Linked DNA regions of Xenopus tropicalis. The protein of the gene in region 1 purifies or fractionates together with the protein of each later gene. This does not show direct contact. Links are inferred from orthologs where the notes say so. Each region holds a gene or a part of one and is shown in the gene's direction. Other genes may lie near its edges. The genes, in order: abl2 and rin1.

Region 1 (12,778 bases):
AACAGGCAATGAAAACAAGCATTTATATTGCAGGTATATTAATATGAACTGCATTTATATGTTGGTTGTATGTTACACAGAAAGAAATTGGGTGCTGCTTAGGGTTCTCTGGGGGTAGAGGGCAAAAAAGTCTACCGTGACGGTATAACTACTTTATTAGTTACTGTTGCTTGCAGTTGTGTAGAGAAACAATCCACATTGTTCTTGAGGGAATGTAGCTCTGACTGTCTGGTCTATAGCCCTAATAAAGATGTGTTGCTGTTTGCATGTCTCTTTCTATGGGGAGAACATTGAATGATTATACTTGAAAAGTCACCCATACTAATCATCTAATTTGACTTGGCTTTACTACAAGGCTTCTTTCCAATATGTGGTGCTGTCAAGACATTAGTGTGGTACAAAGTAGGTAAACAGAATTCCACCCTGGAGCAGATCTTTCCTCTCCTCCCATACAGCCCAGCCCAGCATCTTGAAACAGCAGCTGGTGCTACTCACAAGCCATTGCTTGTAATTGGACTCTAAAGCTTAACATTGGTCTCCTCCCTTCCCCACCCAGCCCTTCAAATTATTTTGCTATGCCAGCCTCCTCGCTTTTCTGAGAGTCGTCATACAGATCTGGGTTTATGCCACATTGTTAGCTGCATTTTGTATTAAGTCGGTGATGATCCTTGGGCCTGTCCTGGCCTCTTGCAAAAGATTAAATGGCAAGAGACACATGAAAGGCATATCTTTTTGGGACCAGTCCTTCCTGCAACATGTTGTCTTCTGCTCAGGTACTGTGCATGATCTTTCAGGTGGAATAGATGGGCTGTATATGACGAGAAGTTTGAGTGTTTTTTATTTATTTTTGCTGTTGTTCGTGCCTAATGTGTATGTAGCGCATATATATATCTCTCAGCAAACAGTTTTGTATGGCTACATTTCTTTTCGTTATTGCAGACTGTAGAGTGGTTTTATATTCAATTTTGAAAATAGTAATTAAAGCTAAAGGAGCACATGCATTTACCTGCCTTATAAAGGGTGCATTCTAAGGACCTGTCAGTAAGTAAGAAGTAGATCTGAATGAATAAGACTGCTAACAATGAAAAGTGGATAGTGTAGCTAAGGAGAGTGTCTCTTGACTGGGAATTACAGATACATACATGTATTTTTGAATCAGACCTTCTGAATTACGACCTGCAGCTGTTTTAAAAACAGAAGTCAATTTATCAAAATTAGAAATTGTGAATTTTTCAAGTTCTTTCAAACTCTAAAACTTGCTAAACTTGATAATACAAAGAACTTGATCAAATTAAACAGTGAAAAAAAACTTGAACGCAGCAAATTTGCATTCAACTCATTATTTTCATTTGCTCCACAAACTCCCCAAAAAATCTGAAAACTTGAAACTGAAAATATCGCTTACATTTTGCTAGGTCAATTCCCATTGTCTTCTACATAAACTTGCTAGCTTTTGGATGCCAAAGTTACACGCTTGACTTTCTTTTGCACTTAATATTAATGATTTACTTTTAGAAATCCTAATTAAAATGTGTGCATTTTAGCATTAAATAATTTGATAGACACCAAAAATTCACATTGATAGATCAGCCTTTATGTCTTTAAATCTTTAAGTATGATTTACTTCCCTCATTTAGTTTTATCACTTTTCTTTGTAGTCCCGTGTATTTCAGTGGTTGCTTTGAATTCAAAACACGTTTAAAAATTGTGTGTTTATTTAAATTTACATATATATTTTGAGAGGGGGACGGGGGATCTGTCTGGCTCACACCACAGCCTGTTATTAGCAGTTAACATGATGTCATGTAGCAGAAATAAGTGCTCGCTAATGGTCAGTAAAAGGAGTCTAGAAACCTGGGATCATGTTTGTCTGCATTTCATTATCGCCTATTTATATCACTTGTTTCTGCCACCAGATTCCTCCACTGTCTGTCCACTCTCTGCCAGAACTGCATCCTCTTTTTAGCATCTTGTCTGCTAAATGGTGTTGATTGTTCCACATTGACACTGCACTTGCATGAGAATTTGGTTGTTTTTTAGTCATTTTGTCTAGTAATTAAATTCTGTGCCACTGTATGCTAGATTTGAGTAAATGCAATTCAAATCTTTTATATATGTGTATATAGTGCTGCTTGTATGTGCAATGCATATAAAGTGCATTAATAATATTGAAATAGCAGCTGACACAGAAAATGCTTTTATAAATGAGCAGAATAATTACATTTGCAGCCAAAAAGTTTTAGTCTAATGATTTATGGAAAAGTTGCAAACATTTGTAAAACAAAACAATATTAAATGTAATAACATTTTGATTTTGGGGAAATGCCAAATTTATTTTTAAGAATCCCAATTTGACCTTATATAAATCTTAGCGCCCCATTATAAGAGGCACAGTTGAAAGGAGGTTCTTGCCCTGCAGAGGGCACCTACTCTGGCTCCTGTTAAACTTTCCAAGTATGAAGGTGCATTAATTCTAAGAAGTGGGAAGGGAAGAGACAGGTCAATATGGAACTGTGTTAGGGTATTGCAGAGAGAAGTGGTGTATGCTTTGTAATATATTCATGCCCTTGTGCATTTGTCTTTGCTCTCATTTAAATAAAGGGGTTTATATTTAGGAGGGTGCCGATCCCTCTGGCAGTGTGCACCGGGCGTTCTGGTTTGGAGAGCTAGGGTGTGCGGAATAAGCCTCTGTTGTACTTACAGGTCCTTTTCAAAAAATTAGCATATTGTGATAAAGTTCATTATTTTCTTTAATGTACTGATAAACATTAGACTTTCATATATTTTAGATTCATTACACACAACTGAAGTAGTTCAAGCCTTTTCTTGTTTTAATATTGATGATTGTGGCATACAGCTCATGAAAACCCAAAATTCCTATCTCAAAAAATTAGCATATCATGAAAAGGTTCTCTAAACGAGCTATTAACCTAATCATCTGAATCAACAAATTAACTCTAAAAACCTGCAAAAGATTCCTGAGGCTTTTAAAAACTCCCAGCCTGGTTCATTACTCAAAACCGCAATCATGGGTAAGACTGCCGACCTGACTGCTGTCCAGAAGGCCATCATTGACACCCTCAAGCAAGAGGGTAAGACACAGAAAGAAATTTCTGAACAAATAGGCTGTTCCCAGAGTGCTGTATCAAGGCACCTCAGTGGGAAGTCTGTGGGAAGGAAAAAGTGTGGCAGAAAACGCTGCACAACGAGAAGAGGTGACTGGGCCCTGAGGAAGATTGTGGAGAAGGACCGATTCCTGACCTTGGGGGACCTGCGGAAGCAGTGGACTGAGTCTGGAGTAGAAACATCCAGAGCCACCGTGTACAGGCGTGTGCAGGAAATGGGCTACAGGTGCCGCATTCCCCAGGTCAAGCCACTTTTGAACCAGAAACAGCGGCAGAAGCACCTGACCTGGGCTACAGAGAAGCAGCACTGGACTGTTGCTCAGTGGTCCAAAGTATGTCATTCGGAAATCAAGGTGCCAGAGTCTGGAGGAAGACTGGGGAGAGGGAAATGCCAAAATGCCTGAAGTCCAGTGTCAAGTACCCACAGTCAGTGATGGTCTGGGGTGCCATGTCAGCTGCTGGTGTTGGTCCACTGTGTTTTATCAAGGGCAGGGTCAATGCAGCTAGCTATCAGGAGATTTTGGAGCACTTCATGCTTCCATCTGCTGAAAAGCTTTATGGAGATGAAGATTTCATTTTTCAGCACGACCTGGCACCTGCTCACAGTGCCAAAACCACTGGTAAATGGTTTACTGACCATGGTATTACTGTGCTCAATTGGCCTGCCAACTCTCCTGACCTGAACCCCATAGAGAATCTGTGGGATATTGTGAAGAGAAAGTTGAGAGACACAAGACCCAACACTCTGGATGAGCTTAAGGCCGCTATTGAAGCATCCTGGGCCTCCATAACACCTGAGCAGTGCCACAGGCTGATTGCCTCCATGCCACGCCACATTGAAGCAGTCATTTCTGCAAAAGGATTCCCGACCAAGTATTGGAGTGCATAACTGAACATAATTATTTGAAGGTTGACTTTTTTTGTATTAAAAACACTTTTTTTTTATTGGGAGGATGAAATATGCTAATTTTTTGAGATAGGAATTTTGGGTTTTCATGAGCTGTATGCCACAATCATCAATATTAAAACAAGAAAAGGCTTGAACTACTTCAGTTGTGTGTAATGAATCTAAAATATATGAAAGTCTAATGTTTATCAGTACATTACAGAAAATAATGAACTTTATCACAATATGCTAATTTTTTGAAAAGGACCTGTATATTTAGGAGGAGCCCAGGGTTTACTGTTGTGTTTCAGGGACACTATATTGTGTATGCATATGTTTTTTTATAATGTGTAGATAATCCACTAAAGGGGACATATTGTGTGAAAAACAATACTGTGTAAGTTGTACTCATCTAAATATAGAAGGAATGTGTTTTTAAAAGTAGTTTTTTGGTCTGACCCCTGAAACACAGACAGCAAGCTCCAGTAAAGGGGCTATTTTTACAGGTAGTATTAATTTTTAGACCAAAGTGAAATCAGCTCCATATATACCTGTATATGTTTCAGCCGTAGCTTTACTTTTTGCATCTTATTTCCTTATTAACTCTGTGTTCTTTTCCAGAAGCACTACATCGTCCTTATGGCAGTGACTCTGAACCACAGGCTCTTACTGATGCTATCCGCTGGAGTTCCAAGGAGAATCTTTTGGGAGCCACAGAAAGTGATCCCAATCTCTTTCTTGCCCTTTATGATTTTGTTGCCAGTGGCGACAACACACTAAGCATCACCAAAGGTATGTGAAATGAACATGCACATTAGCTACTTTTATTTGCTGCAGTGTCATGATAATTTTATAAGTACCAAATATTTCCTGGGGGTAAATCTACTGTTTCTGACCATGTAACTGTACTGTATGTCTATATATTTTAACAGAAGGGGAATTAAACAAAAATCCAGAAATCCTTTTTATTATTGATATAATATGATAAAAGCAACTTCTGCATTCAGTCCTTTTGAGTGACTTTTTGGAAGGTGATATTAGCCCGTTAATTAATAATTATTTTCTATTTTAGGGGAAAAGCTCCGTGTCCTGTGCTACAACCAGAATGGGGAATGGTGTGAAGTACTGTCTAAGAATGGGCAGGGTTGGGTGCCAAGCAATTACATAACTCCTGTCAACAGCCTGGAAAAACACTCATGGTATCATGGACCCGTGTCTCGGAGTGCTGCAGAGTACCTGCTCAGCAGCCTTATTAATGGTAGTTTTCTGGTGCGTGAAAGTGAGAGTAGTCCTGGTCAGCTCTCCATATCGCTACGCTATGAGGGCCGTGTTTATCACTACCGCATTAACACAGCTTCCGATGGGAAGGTGAGGAGGCCTATTTCTGCAACTTTACACGCAAAGTTCATTTATGAGCAACTTTCGATTATGACTGTATGTTGCCATTTAAATGATAATGGGCTTGAAACTGCCTTATTCATGGAATTTTAAAAATAGAATATTTCATAACCTTGGGCCATAAGAAGCCTTATTTTTGTCCTTTCTCGCTTCATAGGGCTGCTATACTTGTCTTTTATAGCTTCCCTATGAGAATAAAGGATGTCACCATGCAAAGTCCCTTTTATTATGCCTCCTTTCCCCATTGGTGTAGAGCTCTAATTTAAACACAGAGAAGTCTGAGAAGGAAAATGTGTTCATGTGTGAGTAAAAAGCACACACATTTAATCCCCTAACAGAAAAATAAAATGTGTCAAACACTTTGTGTACACTATATGTCCTGAAGGCTTATGTATGTGTATCCTTTATTTAGCATATTATCCCAGATCACCCTAGCACTTCTGCTCTATTACTTGATATATAATAGTGTTTATGCTGTTTCTGTAAGTACTAGTTGAATCAGCAAGAAATAGAGGTTATATGCACCAACGAGTGAATTTTGTGGTGCATATCTTCTTCAACAGCTGCTTCTTTGTTACTTCCTTATCAAATAAACAATGCCATTGCCTGACAAATACCTTTATTTCTCCAGGTGTATGTCACAGCAGAGAGTCGATTCAACACTTTAGCTGAACTAGTTCACCATCATTCTACTGTGGCTGATGGCCTTGTTACTATTCTTCACTACCCGGCACCGAAATGTAACAAGCCCACAGTTTATGGAGTGTCCCCTATCCATGATAAATGGGAAATGGAACGTACTGATATCACTATGAAGCACAAGTTAGGTGGAGGCCAGTATGGCGAAGTGTATGTTGGTGTCTGGAAAAAATACAACCTTACAGTAGCTGTCAAAACACTTAAGGTAATATAAAGATCTGTTATATAATGCAGAAACCTCCATTGTTAATGGAATACTGTCACAAGAAAACATTTAAAAACAGAATTATGCACTGAAATCCATTTTTTTAAAGCTGAAACAGATTTGTTATATTTAATTTTGGAATTTGATTTGGGGATAGCTGTTACCTTACCTGCCTAGGTGCCCCCAGCCACATCACTTGTACTCTGATACACTTTTGTCACTCTTTACTGCTGTGCTGCAAATTATGATTGATGTCACCCCCTCCTCCCCCCCCCCCCAGCAGCCAACAACTGAATAATGGACAGGTAACAAGATAACACCTCGCTGAAACCTTTGGTAAAGGATTCAGCAGTCTGAACTGATAGTGCCTACATGAGCTAATAGCACTCCTGGTACTGTTTTGAATTATGAGTGGGTAAGCAGGCAAAACTGCCTATAATGACCCCAATAATGTGTGGGTTCTCTGCCAGGTAAAATACACTGTGAAAATACAGCTCTATGTGCCCCATTACCTTTAATTAGTTTGTATAGTAAAGGAGATATAGATATATATACACAGTATGCACTTAATAATGGTACACTGTTTTTATGAACGATAACTACAGATCTTCATTATATTTTACAGTGAGGGATAGATGTAGAGGCACCCAAAATACATTAAGTGAGAAGCAGTGGGAACTTCAGCCCAAAATACATTAAATACAGTAAGAGGCAGTATAATGAACTAAATGGAATTAAAATACGAGAGGCAATACATTGACACCCGAGACCCCCTTCATATTTCCTGAAGGCTGGAGAAGATTAGCAATGTAGAGATCAAATGACTTAAGAAATTGTGCCTTGCTAAATGTGCTCATTATAGTGGCCCACCTAGTGGTAGACATGAGAATATCAACCCAGGTGGAGAAACCTGTTTTGCTGTTATGCGACTTGGGTTCTATTGACAGTACATTGAGTGGGAAAAAACTGCTTATCTGAAAGCAGTTCTATTGTGTAATGCTGACTTCTTCCGAAAGCTCAGAATCAGGCGCAATGCACTGAGATGGCTGCCTACACACCAATATTACAGCTAAAAAATACATTTGTTGGTTCTAGAAATTTTAAATGGTAGAATAAATTATTTGCAGTGTACACAGTGTAATTTAGAAAAAAGCACACCATAGAAATCATGCCAGAATCGCTTTATGAAAAAGTTGAATGCAACAAGTATTTCAACCATTAAGTCACAAGGCAGCATTCTTTTCACATAGTTCCAGCATCATTGCATCTGCTATGCAGAGCTGCATTCAGTGTTTTATACTAGACAAACACATTATGATGTGAAAGACTTTAGTGTGCAGATTTTAAGATGGCCTCTCATTTTTTCCATCCTTTTTGCTTTCGTGTAACTGCGACAGTGCCATTATTTTTTGCTTTGCAGCTCTGCTTACTTTACAAGTAGGTTTCTTCCCAGGCTCCAAGTAAGCCATTTGTGCTGGGGCCAAACAAACAAAAATGTTACATGTTTGCTTGGCTTATATATGTGATAATTTGTTTTAATATCTCTTTTTCTGCTCTATCCAGGAAGACACTATGGAAGTGGAGGAGTTTCTGAAGGAAGCAGCAGTAATGAAGGAAATTAAACACCCCAACCTAGTGCAACTTCTGGGTATGTAACCTAAAGAAAGTATTCAAAGCATTACCCATAAGAATGAGTGAATGTGTGTGTAATATGTACAGGATCTACATTAGTCTTTTGGCTCTCGGTTTCTTCCATTAGTCAGTCTGTCTTTGTTCCCTTTGGCTGTGTTTTTTTGATGCATGTACAAGTGTCTTCATTCTGTGATGCAGTGCACTGTCCAGGTAGAATGTAATACACTATTAAATGAAGGAATGAATATTTTTAGATACTACGTAAAAGTAAGAATGACCTTTGGGATACCTGCTTATTAAAACCTGTAATAGCCTATTCTTCCTACAATATATTTATCTGTCATCTTAACTATGTTCTTAGGTGTTTGCACACTGGAGCCCCCATTTTACATAGTAACTGAATACATGCACTATGGGAACCTTCTAGACTATTTACGTGAATGTAATAGGGAAGAGGTGACTGCTGTTGTGCTACTTTACATGGCCACTCAGATCTCCTCTGCAATGGAATATCTGGAAAGAAAGAATTTTATCCATCGGTGAGTTGCATATATAGGTACCTTGAGTAATTTTATAGTCCAGCAAATCCATCAGTAACACATTGTGAGGTCTGGGAACTTAAATTATAGCTTTGTGTCTTTCAGTTGGCAACTTTGTATACATAGTAGTGGGTTGCAAGATGTATCTATACGCAGACACTGAGTTTCACTTTGAAAATCCTAATACAAAACAATAAAATGTTTAGATAACTTACTAAAAGTGTTTATTAGAATACAAAAGTATAATATACAGTGGCAACTTTTCTCTCCCATTGTACACTTTTCATGCATCATTGACTATGAGCTGTGAGATCACAAAGAAATGCTAAAGCCCCAAAAATCTGAAAAATTTAGCTGTTTTTTTTTTTTACAAGTTCTGTTGGAAAGTAGGTCATTGCCAGTCTTACGGATCACTTTCTGACATTACTCTGCAGATGCTCTGAGTTAGTGTAGTAATTGTTTTTTGGGATTTAGTTATATGAAGCATTTTTTTAATTAATCCAAATTGCAAAAAATACTTGTTGAGGCACGTACTACGGTAGAACCCCCATTTTACATTTTTCGGCGGACCAGAATAAAATGGTTTATAATCTGGGAAAATTCAAAATCTGGGAAATGGACAAAAACAGTGTAAAACTTAACATAAGGCTATGTTAAATTGAGGTTTCACTGTACTGTAGTAAAAACAATTTGGCTGAAAGGTAAGCACCTGTACTACTCTAGCTTCCACTCATTACTAATGCATACACAGTGTGTATCTCTAAGGCCTCAAGGCTATGGTAGATAAAAAGTGATGAACAGACTGCAAGCCAGCACCAAACCGGATTCCACAATTTCTCCGTGTTCACCTTACTAGACCAAGAATTCTTCAATGATGAAGTTAATCTTCTTAAAACCGCCTTTATTCACTTAATTGGCAAAGACCAGGATAGCAACGTTCGAGGTCTACATTGACCCGTTATCAAGCTTTGGCTTGAAGCCTTAGCTTGATAAAGGGTCAATGAAGACCTGAACCTTACTATCCTGGTCTGTGCCAATTTTGTGAATAAAGGCGGTTTTAAGAAGATTAAATTCAAATTTATTTGTCTCATACACAGTATGATATAAAGTGAAATGCTTATACGATACGATTCATTTGGAGTGCTGTTCATAATTGGAGATTAGAAGTGATTGTCAATTCTGTATCCTGTTGTATTCATCTACACATGTTTAACCCCTTTAAAGTTAATAATCCCTTGAACTCATTAATGAGGATGTAAGGTTGTGTCCTTTTTTAATGTCTATACTAAATACCCTTGATTTTTCTGTAGGGATTTGGCTGCACGAAATTGTCTTGTGGGGGAAAATCATGTGGTGAAAGTAGCGGACTTTGGACTGAGCCGCCTTATGACTGGTGATACGTATACAGCACATGCTGGTGCTAAATTCCCAATTAAATGGACTGCTCCAGAAAGTTTGGCATATAATACATTCTCCATAAAATCAGATGTTTGGGGTAAGAGAGAGTTTGTTATGTACTTTATTTACTTTGTCTACTTTCTGATACTGCAATGTACTTTTATACCATTTAAAGAGGTGCAGGGGGGTTTGGTTTAAAATCCACTCTAATTCTAAATAACAGAGAAACGTCCTTAATGACATTCCTAGAACTTTCACTAAGGTGTATTTAAAATAATGTGACATATTCAGTATCAACCACATCACAACGTCAAATCGTTTTGGATGCGAGTGATTTGGTATAGAATATAAACAATTCCCTAATTCAGATTAGAGGTACATTAAATCTGATCGAGTCACAGTTAGTTCCCACATACCAATATCCTTTTGTTTTTAGAGTGTTTTCTCTATCAGTGTTTGCTCTATCTCTGCATGCCTTAAAAATATTATCAAGCTCATAGTGGAAGACTGAAGTACCTTTTAAAGCATTAACATAACCTCTCAGTCCTTTCTACTGACATCAGGTATTTGTGACATGAAATCAACCTTAAATCTCTCTCCAACATTACTGGAATTCTTTAAATTGCTAATAATCTGTATATTTGTAAATTAAATTTGTTGTTGAAAATATGCCAAGCTTTATTCTAAAATCTGCTGAAACCTGTCCTTAAGAAGCTTTCATTTGTTTACTGCAGCGTTTGGGGTACTTCTATGGGAAATTGCAACCTATGGAATGTCACCCTATCCTGGTATAGACCTTTCTCAAGTGTATGACTTGTTAGAGAAGGGATATCGCATGGAACAGCCAGAAGGGTGTCCTCCCAAAGTGTACGAGCTCATGAGAGCATGTAAGTACTTTTTGCAAATAATCTCACTCACCTTTATTGTTTTCTAAATTAACAGCAGTCCTTTCTTAATATATATGTCTTGTGATACACAAATTGTTTTTGCTTTGTTGTTAAAAGCAAGAACCACCTATTTCAAGGACCCAAAGGCATTTACCATGCATGATATTTCTTACTGAGACTGCTTTCTTCTTAGGCTGGCAGTGGAATCCATCAGACAGGCCATCTTTTTCAGAGACTCATCAAGCTTTTGAGACCATGTTTCATGATTCAAATATTAATGAGGGTAAGTCTATTAACTTGTATTGTGGGTTTCCACCAAAAATTCAGAATAGCAATTAAAATGAATTACAATTATATAGATTGTTCTTCAATTTTTGGGTTTTCCACCATTTTTCAACAACATATGGCCTCCGAAGAAAAAGCTTTTAGGAATACTGATATGGGAAAACATTTTTTTTTTTTCAAAATACATTGGTTAATAGAGCTTCTTTAACAAAATCATGCATTGAAATCAATTTTTCAAAAGAGCAAATAGATCTTTGTATATTTAAGTTTGAAATTTGATGTGGGCCCAGCCATGTTTTTTAGTTTCCCATATGCCCTTGGCCATGTGATTCTGCTCTGATAAACTTAAAGGAACAGTAACACAAAATGAGAATGGTTTAAAGTAATTTTCAAAGATAATGTGCTGTGTGTGTATGTATGTGTGTGTGTGTGTGTGTGTGTGTATATATATATATATATATATATATATATATATATATATATATATATATAACATATTACTGTGATACACTTCATATTTTTTGGTGTTACTGTTCATTTAAGTCACTCTTTGATGCTGCACTGCAAGGAATTTCACCCCTTCCTTTCTACTCCAGCAACCTATCAGCGGAACAATGGGTAGGTAACAAGATAACCGCTCACTAACATCTACATTGCTTAGTGGTAGACATGAGAATAGCACCCAATATTTAAATACCCAAGTCTGGTCATCACTCCTCTAGTTACACTCAGTAGGAGAAATAGCTTATCTGAAAGCAGTTGCATTGTGCAGTGCTGGCTCTTTCTGAAAGCCCAGGATCAGGCACAATGAACTGAGATGGCTGCCTACTCACCAATAGTACATCTAAAAAATACACTTACTGGTTAAAGAATACAGTTTTAAATGGTAGAGTGAATTATTTGCTATATAAACAGTGTAATTTAGTAATAAAAACTACACAATAAAAATCTTGACAGTATCCCTTTAGGAACTGGCATAAATGGTATACAAAGGCAAATCTCTGATTGGAAATGTTTATCTAACATGGCATATTAGCAAGCTTTGATATACATTTTATATTTGGTTAAGTTATTTGCTTGTTTCAGAAATGTGTCCATCCCTGTTTTAATAGGCTATATAGCCACTGGTTATAGTTGTTCGGTTATTTATTTATTGTATTTGAGTTTGCCTATATTATTGTTTATCTCTGTCTTCAGAGGTAGCAGAAGAGCTAGGACGCACAGCTGTTACTTCATCATCAGTTTCATATCAATGCCGGCTCCCCATGCTGCCCTCAAAATCTCGCACCTTAAAGAAAAAGGCAGAGAACAAGGAGAACATTGAAGGCACAGGGGATTCCTCAGACAACTCTACTTCCAGTTCTACACCAGGTATTCTGAAGATTTTTTTTATTTTTGTAACTGAAATTAATTTATTATGTCAGTTTTTTGTAGGCCAGTGTTAGAGAAATATATCAGAGATATTGTATACTGACAAATCTGTCAAATAACTCTTTTAGTCAAAACTACACTACTTGTACGCAGTGTTGTGAATATTACTAATTGTTCATATACAAATCACTTTTGCATTGGTAACAGCATACTTTAAATTCAAGAAAAATACAACAAAGGTCTGAATATTGCCATGTCTTGGCATTATAATGTGTCATGTGCTATGGAGGAAGTTGCTCCTTCCTTTCCAGAAGGCTGTAACCTTTTTTTGGCAGGAAGTGACAAAAAAAGAG
Region 2 (12,778 bases), about 62 Mb from region 1:
AGCTTCTGATCTTGTTAGCCTGTCTCTTAAGTGTCAGTGGAACTGCACATGCTCATTGTGCTCTGGGCTACTGTAAAGAAGTTAAACTTATGGATCATGTTAAATAATCAAGAATCCTATAACCTTTTTCTATGTATACAAACATCACACTGTATTTGGCTGAAGCAGTGAATGCTATCAAGAATTAATTTTTGAGAACCTTGCAAAGTGGAATGCTTTAATACACATAAACGTCACTTTTGCAAGGAAAGTGCTGCAAAGAACACCGGCTTTGGTCTGCTGAGCAGTGGAAAACACTTGTGGCTCATGCGTTATATTGTTCTCAACAAGTGGATGTTACACTGCCAAAGGAGCCTAGAGCTTGAATGCTGTTTTCCACATCTGTATAGCAACTCATTATTTTTCTAGGGTTTTCTAGCCTCTGCAACTTAATCAGATCAGTGAGCCAAGTGATTAGTATAGAGAGCAGTAGGAATCCCCTACGTCAGGGGTCCCCAACCTGCCTTACTTGTGAGCCACAGTTAAAAATAAAAAGAATTGGGGAGCAACACAAGCATCATAGAAGTTCATGGAGGTGCCAAATAAGGGCTGTGATTGGCTATTAGGTAACCTCTATGCACACTATCTGCTTACAGGAAACAGGTAGTAAATCTTATTTTTATTCAACCAAAAACTTGCCACCAAGTCTGAAATTGAAAAATAACTACCTGGTTTGGGGGCACTGAGAGCATCATCCAAGGGGTTGGTGAGCAACATATTGCCCCCGAGCCACTGGTTGGGGATCACTGCCCTAAGTTCCTAAAGTATAAGTAGGTTGGTAAAAGTATCTTGTAAATATAGGTTTTACTGGTTTCTGTGGGGACTTTACAGACTCTATACCTCAGTAAGCAGCTCAGTGTGGCAGAAACATGGAGAAATGTTTTCTGTAGTTTTAATTCAAAAGTACAAATAGACTGATAAAACTCCCAGGCTGGAAGCATGGTATCCTCCCACATACACAAAGGAAATATTCAGTACCTGGAAGATCAATATTTCTAACTGGTTTTATTACATCAAAGCAGCTTTAGATATTCTTAAATAGAAGGTGGAAACCATCTTATTTAAACATGGATTTATACAGATTAAAAAAGGAAATCAATGAAATTTTTTTTTTTTGCTTTTTTGCTCCATATTTTGGAGCTTTCTAGAGACCAAGTTTCTGGATAATAGATTCCAAAGGTAAGCATACAGCATGACTTAAGTGGCCATACACGTTAAGATCTTTCTCCCAGGGGGATATCAGGCTAATTTGATTGGTTGGCCCTATCAAATTACAATAACGGGTATAGGAGCCGTTGGTGCAAGGACTGCATTAATGAGCCAATGCGGTTCCCGATCTGATGGGAAAATCAAGCCTGCCCAATTGAATCCTGGCCAATTTTTCCCCAATTTTTCATGGTAGTCAAGGTTTTTAGATTTTTTGAACGCTCTATTTATTAAAAAACACCAAAAAATGTGTTTTTCGCATTTTTCTGTGTTTTTTGTTTGTGCTTTTTCAATTTGGATCTTTTAATAAATGACTAGACATTTGTAGTTTTAGTGGAAATTAGTTTATTTGTGTTTACAAAAAACTCAAAAGCCATAGATCTATCATCCATCTACCTGAAAAGCCCACAGTGCCAGCAGGGAGCATGGCACTAGCTGCAAAAGAAATGCTGTAAGGAGAAAGCAGGTCAGCACTCAGGTCTTATGAAGAACAAAATGGCACTTTATTTCAAGGAAACTAATGTTTTGGCTAGTGAGCTAGCTCCTTAAATAAAGTGCCATTTTGTTCTTCTTAAGACCTGTGAGTGCAGATATGTATATATGAGGATATGTTCCTCTATGGTTCATGAACATTATCAGAAAGTATAGTAGGTGATACCTTTTATTGGTTAATTTGGTAGGTAATAATAACATTGGTTATCATACCTGAAGCAGGGACCTAAGTTGTCCAGAAAGCTCACATTTCATAATCCACTAAATTAGCCAATACGAGGTATGACCTACTCTATATTTTCTGGTTTTGATTTATGGCTAACATGGTAGAACACTCTGCTACTATGGGTATAAACATTCTTTGAGCACAGCTGACAGTATTATCTATAAAGAACATAAGGTATTGCCCACAGCAGCAGTGCTGTCATCTCTGTGTGCAGCTGGCTGCCTGTTTTATGGAGTAGTTAAGAAGAATCCTCTTTATGATCCTGCTGGCTATATGTGATGTGCCCAGGCGTGCAGGCCAGGCGCACCTTCATTACGTCACTACAGGATTTGTTTAATCAGTAGTTATAGGAAAGGAATGTGATATCTCCAGGAGGCGAGAGCAGGTTGTGGGTGGTGAAAAAAGTACAGCCGTTAATTCCATAATTTATTTGGGTGCACTGGGGCAGGAAGTTTTAACACAGTATGAGATACCATGGAATAATACATGCTTTCCATGCTGGGATTCATATCCTTTCTCTGCGACTTACTAGGAGCTATATTTGCATTGCACAACATTTTAATCATAACATGTTAAATATCCATTTTGTCCTCTGACCCATTTACTGTAGAAATCCCTCCTTTATCTTCTCACTCCAGTCCTTTACAATCATTCCCGGATTTCACTCTTACTCATACTATGAAAATGCAGCTCCTTCCACTAAACTCATTCTTCTCCAATTCATTTCCTTTCCTTTTGTAGCTCAGAGTCTTTTTGCACTCTTTCTCTTTAAAATTTCTCCTTTGTCTCTCTCTTATGCACTCCCTCATTCTCTCTCTCCCTCACTCTCTTTCTTCCCCGCTAATGAAATGAATCTCTAAAGCTGCTTTGATTTAACAAGTCTCTGCAAAGCAGTCATGTGGGGAAGAAGAACAGTGAAAGAAAAACTGTAAGAGGGAGAAAAGGAGGGAGGAGAGTGCATGGAAATCATGAGTGAGCAAGGAGCCGCGTGTATACCTTGCAACACCCTAAGGGTTAGTCACCCTGGGAACACCCATGGGGGTGGGAAAAAGAGCAAGAAGGAGAATCTGGACTCACTGTCCCAGGCCGGAGCAAGGCAAGGTATGTACAACATAAAAGCTTAGACTTCTTTTGGATAAAAGAAAGCTTCTTTAGTTATTCTTAAGATTGTACATTCCTTTGAATGCCAGGTGATAAGCAGCAAATGCCCAGGAAAAGACACTTAAAGAAATACTTTTATAGTACTGAGGCTGTTTATATATTATATATATATATATATATACCAAGGATGAGTGAAAATAATTGCTGATAGGGAGCATAAAAATAGTTAATATACACTGGCATGTTTCACTTACGAAGTGGCAGATGTAAGTTGCAGGCTTCTGACATAAATAGTAGAAACAGATATACACTAAAAGCAATGTTGTCTGCAAAGCTTGCACTCTGTATAAATCTCATTTACACTACAGAACTTGCAGTATTGACATCATAAAGAGGGAAACTGAACCAGAGTTCCCAATTTTTAAGCTGTTTTATAAGTTTATATTCACTTCATTTTTAAATAAATATTTATTTACAATGAGATGTTTCTCTACATAACAGGGCTCATTTACTAATCACATGGGCACAATGTGTGGAATTTCAGTGCAATCTGCAATCTGCGCCTTGTACCAGACTAAAAGTCCTGGGCATGATGCAGAACGCTCCTGGTCCCTGATGGCTCTCCCTAGTTAGCCTGTCATTCAGATGCACAAGCTAAGCAATATCAAAGGAGATGCCCACCACTTGTCCCCTTATGAATTCAGTGCTGCTAAATTTAGGCAGCTTTGTACTCGGAGAAGTGAACACAGGATCTCAAGAGCTGTACCTTTGGGCACAATCCAAATTGGAAAGAACCAAAACATGGAACTTCCACATTTACATTTTGCATCTTGCCTTGTGTATAGGAAATGAGGACTAAGGACTCTATATGAGTCATTACAAATGCAGGTAAGGTGCTTTCAAGCTTGCTCCTTGCACTCGCATATAGTTGCATTAAGCGACATTAGGGCTCATTTTTGTTTGTGCAGTGGGCAACTTGTGCTTTTCTCTGCCATCAGTTAAACCTAAAACCACTTTTATTAAAGGTATTTGCATCAAGTAACTTCTCTATAGTTCCTTCAGTCCTTCCTGCCTTCCATTCAGAAACAGGCTGTGCTGCACTTGTTGATACAGGGGAACCCTGACCAGGGGGTAGCTCCAGGGTTCCCTCAGTCAGGGGCGCTGCTACCAGCAGCTATGGCAAGTGCCCCCATAGTTACCAGGGGCAGCAAAAAGTTGCTCCTAGTAACTTTAAGAGCCAAATTTCTATTTTTTTAAAACGGAAATTCGGCTCTTCTAGTGTAGAGAGCGCAATTGCACTCCCCCCCTGGACCCCCTTCAGTGCTGTAAAGCTAAGTGATGGGGGGCGGCATCGGAGGGGCCGCCTCAGGGGCCGAAAATGTCCCTGCCCTCAGCGCCCTGTATAAATAGGCGCAGCACACTTGCACCTAAAGTACTGGTCACTGGAAATGATGCCGGGCAGACTTAGAAAATATTTGCCACAACAACAACCGATTTGCAATGAAGTGCATGCATCTTATTGAATCGCTATAGCAACTGTGGTGGGCACAGCCCAATTGTGTCAAAAGAACAGCCAGTTTGTGCCTGCAATGATGCCAGAATTATGCCAAAAAAAAGCATTGTGGGAAAAACATGGTAATTGTACTTGATATTGCACTTTGTACACTGCATCTAAGTAAGTGAATGTGCTCTTTTGTGTCCACCCTGCCTCTCTTACTGAATTATGCACATTTGTAGTGGTAAATCTAGTGGGGTGCATTGGTTGGGGTAGAAGAATTGCTCCAAAAAATCACACAATAATTCTGTTTTAACCCCATGTCCCAGAAGTGCCAGAATCTCTGCTTTGAAAATGCTAGCATCTGATTTGCTAACATGCACATGTGCAGTTTTGATTAATTGGGTACAATTGTGCTAGAGCACTGCATTTAGAAATTACTCTGCTATCGGTCATTCAGAAACAGCACTCTCTATTGGGCAAATTATTAAGTACTACTAAGATACTGGAGAAAACAAAGCAATAAGGAAATACTTATGCTAGGTCTTAAAGTTATACTGACACCAGAAATTAACCTTTTTTATACATCTATCATAATATTGTCTTTGCATGCTATTTATAATTTTGCCTTAAAAGTATTTGCCTGATGTTTTTACATTACCTATCTGATGCCCCTCGTTCTTCTATGAGAGGGAGGCCATATTTGTGCAGCAGGGGTCCGTTAGCATTAGAAGTTGTAACTGACTGGATGAGAAGAGACAGTCAGGTTGGCAAAACAGTCAAGTTTAGGAACTTCAAATAACAATTACATACAAAAGCAGCCCTGTTAGCAAAAAATGATCAACATGACCTATAGGTAACTTTAATTAACATTATTATTTTGAAAAAAGTGTTTTTGGGTCAGTATCTCTTTAATAATAAACAGGCAAAAGTTCAAAAAGAAGGTATAGTGACCCTTATCTGATCCCCTACAGGAACAGACTGAAACCCACATCATTGATATAAAAAAACATGATAGCAAACTGTATATTGTTCTTTTTTACAGCTGCAAAGCAAACAGGTGAGCACGTAGTTAGTCATCAATAGAAAGCAATAGTTCCATTGCCATGATAACCCCTTAAGGGTTATGGCAGCCTTATCCTTGCTAATTCCAATTTTTCCATGTGGTTTGCACCATTGACACAACTGTCATTACTAACTCTGACACGTTGGCACAGGGGAAGTTATACCATCCCATTACAAAAAGGCAAACTGTGCTACATTATTTCCTGTCAGGTGATCTCTTAGGGAGCCCTCAGACCATCACAAAATGGTGGCTCAAGATGTAAAAGGGCAATATTTACTGATATACTGTATATATTCCAGATAAGTAAGATTATTTAATAGAGCACTTAATATGTTATAAACTATAATCTGTTGGTTAAGTACTCATTCTGAAGATATAAATTGACAAATTGATTAAGGTGTGCTACACAATGGACAAACCAGCTAATTGTAGCCCCAGGTGCAAGCTGAACCCTCAGCCAGGGTAAAACAATATCCAGGATAAAATGAAAAAACAGCAGCACTCCGGAAATGTTGTAGAAAAAAGTGACTTTACTCAAGTGCACACAGCACTGTGCACTTGAGTAAAGTCACTTTTTTCTACAACATTTCCGGAGTGCTGCTGTTTTTTCATTTTATCCTGGATATCATTTCATTCTGAAGATATAGTTTTCCTTTAAACTCTGGGGAAAAACACTGCATTGTGGGTAAAAAGCATGGCAATTTGATTCTGAGTTGCACTTTGCACATTGCACTGTGTTCCTCATTAAGCCCGTATTTTAATGTACACTTTCAAATCTCTTTTAATTTGAGTTTTGTTTATAATCTGTCTGGATATAATTGCAATGTGATCGTGTAATCCTGTCCCTAATTTCAGATCACACTGGCTGGAGTAAAATCAGGCAGACACAGTGGAATTTACTTGGACACAGTCTGAGCAGCGGCACTGAGGGGGCAAATCAAGAGAAATATTCCCTTTGCAGGGTAGGACCTTCTTGCACAAGGTATGCTACTCAGCACTTCTGCTCAAATGTTGGCATTGTATAGTCTTACTAAATGTATTAGTAGCTAAGAAAATAAGCTTAGAGAGGCAAAAAGAAAACTCCACAGTAGTTTTAAAATCTGAAAAGCACTGAATGCATTTATCAAGAAGGAAATGTTTGGAACAGCATACAAGCTAAACATAAATATTTTAAAGGGGCAATGTGGGATATCAATAACTTTTAGCTAACTTTGTTGTTGCAGCCATCATCCTGCTATGTTTTCTCTTTTGGATTTTAATTAGTTTAACCATTAAGTAAAGGGGACAGCTTTTAAAAAAGATTATGGTCACCTGGATGGCATAATACTGATATACAGGTATCGGACCCCTTATCCGGAAACCCATTTTCCAGAAAGTTTCGAATAACGGAAAGGCCATCTCCCATAGACTCCATTTTAATCAAATAATTCAGAAATTTAAAACTGATTTCCTTTTTTCTGTAGTAATAAAACATGTTATTGATCCTAACTAAGATATAAATAATCCTTATTGAATGCAAAACAATCCTTTTAGTAGACTTAAGGTATGGAGATCCAAATTACGGAAAGACCTCTTATCTGGAATACCCTTTGGACCCCGTATAGGACCCCTTATCCAGAATGCTTGGGACAAAGGGTATTCCGGATAAGAGGTTATTTGAATATTATTATTAGTGAATAATTTTTCCGAGCATTCTGGATAATGGATTCCTATTACATACAGTAAGCATGTTATACAGTGCTTCATTATTAGACATAGCATGGTATATTACATGGCATTACATGGCGTACTGTTGAAAGACAATGTAATTCTTAAGAAAATTTTATATATACAGTATATACTATATTTAGTATATATATATATATATATTTTTTTTTTTTTTTTTTTTTTAAATTCTATGAGTGTATGGGACCTGTTATCCAAAATGCTCAGAACTTGAGGTTTTCCAGATAAGGTTGTCTTTCCATAATTTGGATCTTCATACATTAAGGGGCAGATTTATCAAATCACGAGTTCGAATCCCGAATGGGAAAAATTCAGATTGGAAACGAAAATTTCTGAAGATCACAAATATCACGAAAATGCTTACGAGAAAATCGTATTAGTCACGATAATATCGTATTGGCGATTCGAAAGTCACGAAATTTTCATACCGTACAATTGTAAACAGCAGTAAAACCTTTCCGATTTTTTCGTGCAAGCGTTTGTGCAGCGTACAGATAGTCGTGCGCCGTACGAAAAAATCGCATGGACGTACGAAAAAATCGGCGAAATACGCTCAAAGCATTCGAATGAACGCTCCAAGCGTTTGTGATTTGGTAAATGTGCCCCTAAGTCAACTAAAAAATTATTTAAACAGTAATTATATCTTAGTTGGGTACAAGTTACTGTCTCATCATAGAGAGAAAAAATAAATAATTTTTAAAAATTTTAATTATTTAATTATTTGATTAAAATTCAGTCATTGGGAGATGGCCTTTCTGTAATTCAGAAAACTTGTTGGATAATGGATTTTTGGATAATAGGTCCCATACCTGTAATTTTAAAATCCCATAATATATATATATATAGTACTTCACGCTGTGCATCAGTTCCCAGAATGAATATTCAGTGCAACTTATTAAAAATATATGGAACAAGCATTATTTTACAGCATAGAACAGTATGCTTATTATTAGTACATTTGTAGTGCAGTAGAGAATTTAAAGCAAACTTACTCAGCATGATTTTACAGAACTGCCTGGTAAGTATGTGTATGTGTGTGGGCAGATGGATGGCACTCAATGTAGAACTATACAAGTGTTAACAATAAATGAGAGCTCCCAACATCTATACTTTCTGTTGTTCGGTTGAGTTCACCTTGCCAAGATGTTAGCTTTCTTGCATTTATGGCCAGACTCCCAGATGTTCTCGGAGATCTTATTCTTCCCATCACCTCCTGAGATCAGAGCCAATGTAATAAATAGACAAACAGAGCACTTGCCCAGGGCCCACAAGGACAGGGAGCCCACAAACGGTCTTTTTATATGGTATCATTTTTAATGGAAGCATCCCCCAGAGATGTCAGGCCCCTCATTTTAATCAAGTGGAAATGGAGCTCTACAGCATGGCCATTTTTATGTTTTTTTATTCACTTTACCTTTATATTGGAGCCTATGTTCATTAGGGATCGTTTTAATAAAAAGCTGTTATCTTTATTTAAGACATTTTTTTTAAGCTGAGTGTTTAAAGCATTCAAACTGTTTACAACAGAGAAGAGAAAAGAAGTGGTTAAAGTACCTAGGCTGATAGAGTGTCTAGGCAGGATGATAAGATAAAAAAGTATCTGTGGTGCCAGTATCCCATATTTTGGTGTATTTAGCTTGGGGGTCGTGGTAACCATTTTTTTCCATGGTTGTTCTAAAGTCCAGTTGCTGGACTGGGTGATGGCAGGTTTTTTGTCTTCTTATTCCAAACTTTTTCTATTAAAAAGCCAGCTGTGTTAAATACATAAAATAGAAGCTTTTTGGTTGTATTTGGAAGGCCCATTGGATATAACTACAGTAGTGCTATTTGAGGTTGTTGATGTAGGTCACAGTGCAATGTGTTGTTATTCAGTTTGAAGACTTCCTTCCAGAAGAGATATACCAAGGGGCAATGCCACCACATGGGTAACAGTGACCCTTGCTAACTGCTCAGTCTCCAGCATTGGCTTGAATAGGGAGGGGTAATTTAAGCTACAGATTTTGGTGTAAGTAACCACCTGTGGGTCAATTTGATATGCTTCTCTATGTGGTTTGTACAACAGGTAGCTCCTTTTGGAGCTGAAAGAATGTCTTGCCATTGATTAGATATGATGTGGAATTGCTTTTCCATTCCAGGCTTTTACGTACAGATACTCCATTATAGTGGCTTGTATCAAAGTATGGATATCAGGGAGGAATGTTTTAGTAAATGCAGATGCTGCATATGGATACATTTTTGAGTTTGTGGTAAGATATATTTTTGCACCAAATCCTAAAACCACCGTAGGGAGGTTGCAGAGTAGAGATGGCCTATGGTAGATAGTCCTCTAATGACCCATTCTTGTATGGAAATATTGAAGTTCACCTATTTGAGGGTAGGTCATCACAAATGTTTGGGGCAGTTGGGGCCTACCAATGGGATCTTTACCCTGGGCCCACTGATACCTTAAAGCTGCCCTGCCTGACATTCGGGTAATTTGAGGTGCACCTTGAAAGAGAGCAAAATAACTGAGAGGGATGCTGGGAAAGCAATGGGTACTTCACCTTTAAATGAACTTTTATTATGACATAGACATTGATATTCTAAGATAATTTGCAAGTTTTCATTTTTTATTTTATCATTTTTTTTATTTTATAAATATGCTTCGACACCATTATTCTCATATTTAATATTGCCATAGTAAAAGAAAAAGTTAAGATACGGGTATGGGATCTGTAACCTGGTAACCCACTATGCAGATGAAAATGGAATCTCCCATAGACTCAATTGAAATAAAATAATTAAAATTTTTAAAAATAATTTCCTTTTTCTCTGTAATAATAAAACAGTACCTTGTACTTGATCCCAACTAAGATATAATGAATCCTTATTGGAGGCAAAACAATCCTGTTTGGCTTATTTAATGTTTAAATTCTTTTTTAGTTGACCTAAGCTATGGTGATCGAAATTACAGAAGGATCCCTTATCCAGAAAACGACAGGTCCTGAGCATTCTGGATAATAGGCCCCATACCTGTACTAGACTTCACTTCTAGGTTCATTCCTGTCACATTTATATGGGCACGGAACTCCTTGGTGAAAGCAAATGCTGTCCATCAAATGTTTCCATCAAATGCTGGCTGCGGTGATATAATGTAGAGCACTTTGCTGCCAGGTTGGCACATCTGAGTCTTAACTTGTTCTTAGATGTCACAGGGAACATGTAAATTCTCTCCCTGAAGCAATTGTACTAACATTGCATAGTTTCAAGTAAGGATAGGTTTTATTTGCGCAAAAGGGTGAATTTGACAGACATATCTTTTTATTGCCAATTGTATTTAGCTTTTGTATTGTAACCGCAGTAACCTAGATTTGGCATCTCCTCTGGGTCTGCACAAGCTGCAAGCTGTTTTTTAATATCTATGTATACTGCCTTTATCAGAATGCAGAAGAAAGGTCTTGCTACTGAGAGAGTGGTGTTTTGGGGGTTCATTTATTAACACTGGGCAAATTTGCTCCTGGGCAGTTACCTGTGGCAGCTAATCAAATTTTTGCTTTAAAACTGATTATTAGTTAAAGGCCCCTCCGTGGGCGCGCACATATGTGCAAGTGAGTGAACGCACACAGGGGTTGTTGAGGCTGCTGGTGGGGGGTGATGCAGTGGGGGGAAAGGCACGGAAATAGGGGTAAGTGAAAGGAGAGGCACCTGCCTGGCGCCCCCTGCTGTTGCGCCCTAGGCAGGTGCCTCTTCTGCCTACCCCTAGTTCCGGCCCTTCTCAGCAGCAAATTTGTTGTTCTGCTTCAAAAATACTTTCTACCAGTCAGTTAAAATTAGCTTCACTTGACTTTCTTTAACCTGTCAGCTAATACCCACCCAGGGGCTGTATATATTTGTGGAACTTTTGAAAAATCTCATTTGTTGTGGAATACAACAACCAAACTTTCAGGCTTTTGAAGTGACAGTGAACATTAGCTGAATGCATTTCTGCTGGAGTGATTCTAGCATTTCTGCAGCCTGAAGTAACGGATGGAAACTAGAGATGCACCAAACCCTGCAACCGTCTCTCTGGGGCAAATCTGAGCCTTTTTTGCAGGGTTCAGATTTGGTAGAATCCAGAGTGATCCAGAATCCAGATTTGATTCAGGATTCAGCCAAATCTTTTGCAGTGGATTTGGTATTTGGACAAATCCTGAAATTGTGGACTTGGAGCATCTGTGTTGGAAATCCAACCCTTAGAACTACAAACAACTGTACAAACACTGAATCTTCATTCAGTTTGAGATGGGTAGGACAGGATGGGATCCCAAACCCATTATAGAAATTAACCCTACATTTTTCACATAGTGACATGGGGGGAAGTGGGGGATGCAAGGGGGGACTATTGTCTTGGGAAGCCACATGGTAACCCTATGCCAATTCTACTCTCCTGTACACACTAGCTCAGAGTAGTGCACTGCCCTAGACCTAGGAAAGCACATGTGAAGTCACTGCCAGGGTAGGCACCCTAGGCAACCCTGCGGCCATCATGCCCCCTTCCCCCGCACATATGCGCAAATGAGTGTAGTGATAATGTGTGAGCCAAAGGGAGTGCGCAGGGGAGAGAATGACCTTGGGCCTAGACCAGGGGTACACAGAAAAAAGAGTTATGTGCCTAATGCCCCTCCACCCTAGACACGTGCTTCTTCTACTGACCTCTAGTTCTAGCGTATTGAAGTATAGTCATTTTTACAACTTTAATATATTGCACATGCTCCAGCCCAGTGCAGCAGAAAAACTCCCTTGGAAATTCAAGGAAAACAAAACCCTAATTTATAGGAGTTTTGTTGTCCTTTAAACAATTCTGATTTTTTTTAACAGTTTTCTTTATTCTCTAATAATAATAAAGCAACGCCATTTACTTTATATTTAAGCAGCCTTTAAGTTTATGTTGCTGGCAAAACAAAGCTGTTGCTTTCTTTTAATGTTTTAATGTTTTGTAGCTTTTAGGAAAGGTGCTCTAAGTTACAGAAAGACCCCTCATCTGGAAACCCTAAGTTCCAAGCATTCTGGGCATAGATCCTCAATTTGTATCACAAGCATAAAGAAGGGCCTGGACTAATGGATTTTAAAAGGAAGTTGAATGTGTACCAGGAAAAAGCTGCCCAAGGGAGGCCTGCAGCATATAACCAAAAAAAGCTAAAACGCATTGCACTTAATGGTACTGGATGTTGTTCACCTTTATATTCACTTTTCACACACAATGATATTTGCACTTGGTCTTATTTTTTATTGTTTATTAATGTATTTATTTATTGCTGCAAGTTTGTTTTTGGATTATTTCGCTTTTTTTAATTAGTAGCTCTCAAGTTTAGAATTTCAGCAGCTATCTGGTTGCTAGGGCCCAATATACAGTACATCTATAAACTGTGATCTTTCTGTTCCTGCAGGATGACTGAACCGGTATATGATT

Evidence for each region.
Region 2: the proteins of abl2 (region 1) and rin1 purify together in Homo sapiens (co-immunoprecipitation; 3 studies listed by BioGRID and IntAct, counting the BioPlex papers as one, with this or other methods). This does not show direct contact. The link is inferred for Xenopus tropicalis from reciprocal best matches to the Homo sapiens genes ABL2 and RIN1.

Annotation. Positions count from the first base shown.
Region 1 is NC_030680.2:99,864,688-99,877,465, reverse strand, and holds part of abl2 (tyrosine-protein kinase ABL2), read left to right. Parts: intron 1-4,632; coding exon 4,633-4,803; intron 4,804-5,083; coding exon 5,084-5,379; intron 5,380-6,040; coding exon 6,041-6,313; intron 6,314-7,876; coding exon 7,877-7,961; intron 7,962-8,306; coding exon 8,307-8,484; intron 8,485-9,794; coding exon 9,795-9,979; intron 9,980-10,616; coding exon 10,617-10,769; intron 10,770-10,962; coding exon 10,963-11,052; intron 11,053-12,251; coding exon 12,252-12,425; intron 12,426-12,778. UniProt on the Homo sapiens protein: Non-receptor tyrosine-protein kinase that plays an ABL1-overlapping role in key processes linked to cell growth and survival such as cytoskeleton remodeling in response to extracellular stimuli, cell motility and adhesion and receptor endocytosis.
Region 2 is NC_030680.2:38,262,052-38,274,829, forward strand, and holds the start of rin1 (ras and Rab interactor 1), read left to right. Parts: upstream 1-2,545; 5' UTR 2,546-2,922; coding exon 2,923-3,064; intron 3,065-6,480; coding exon 6,481-6,607; intron 6,608-12,755; coding exon 12,756-12,778. UniProt on the Homo sapiens protein: Ras effector protein, which may serve as an inhibitory modulator of neuronal plasticity in aversive memory formation. Can affect Ras signaling at different levels. First, by competing with RAF1 protein for binding to activated Ras.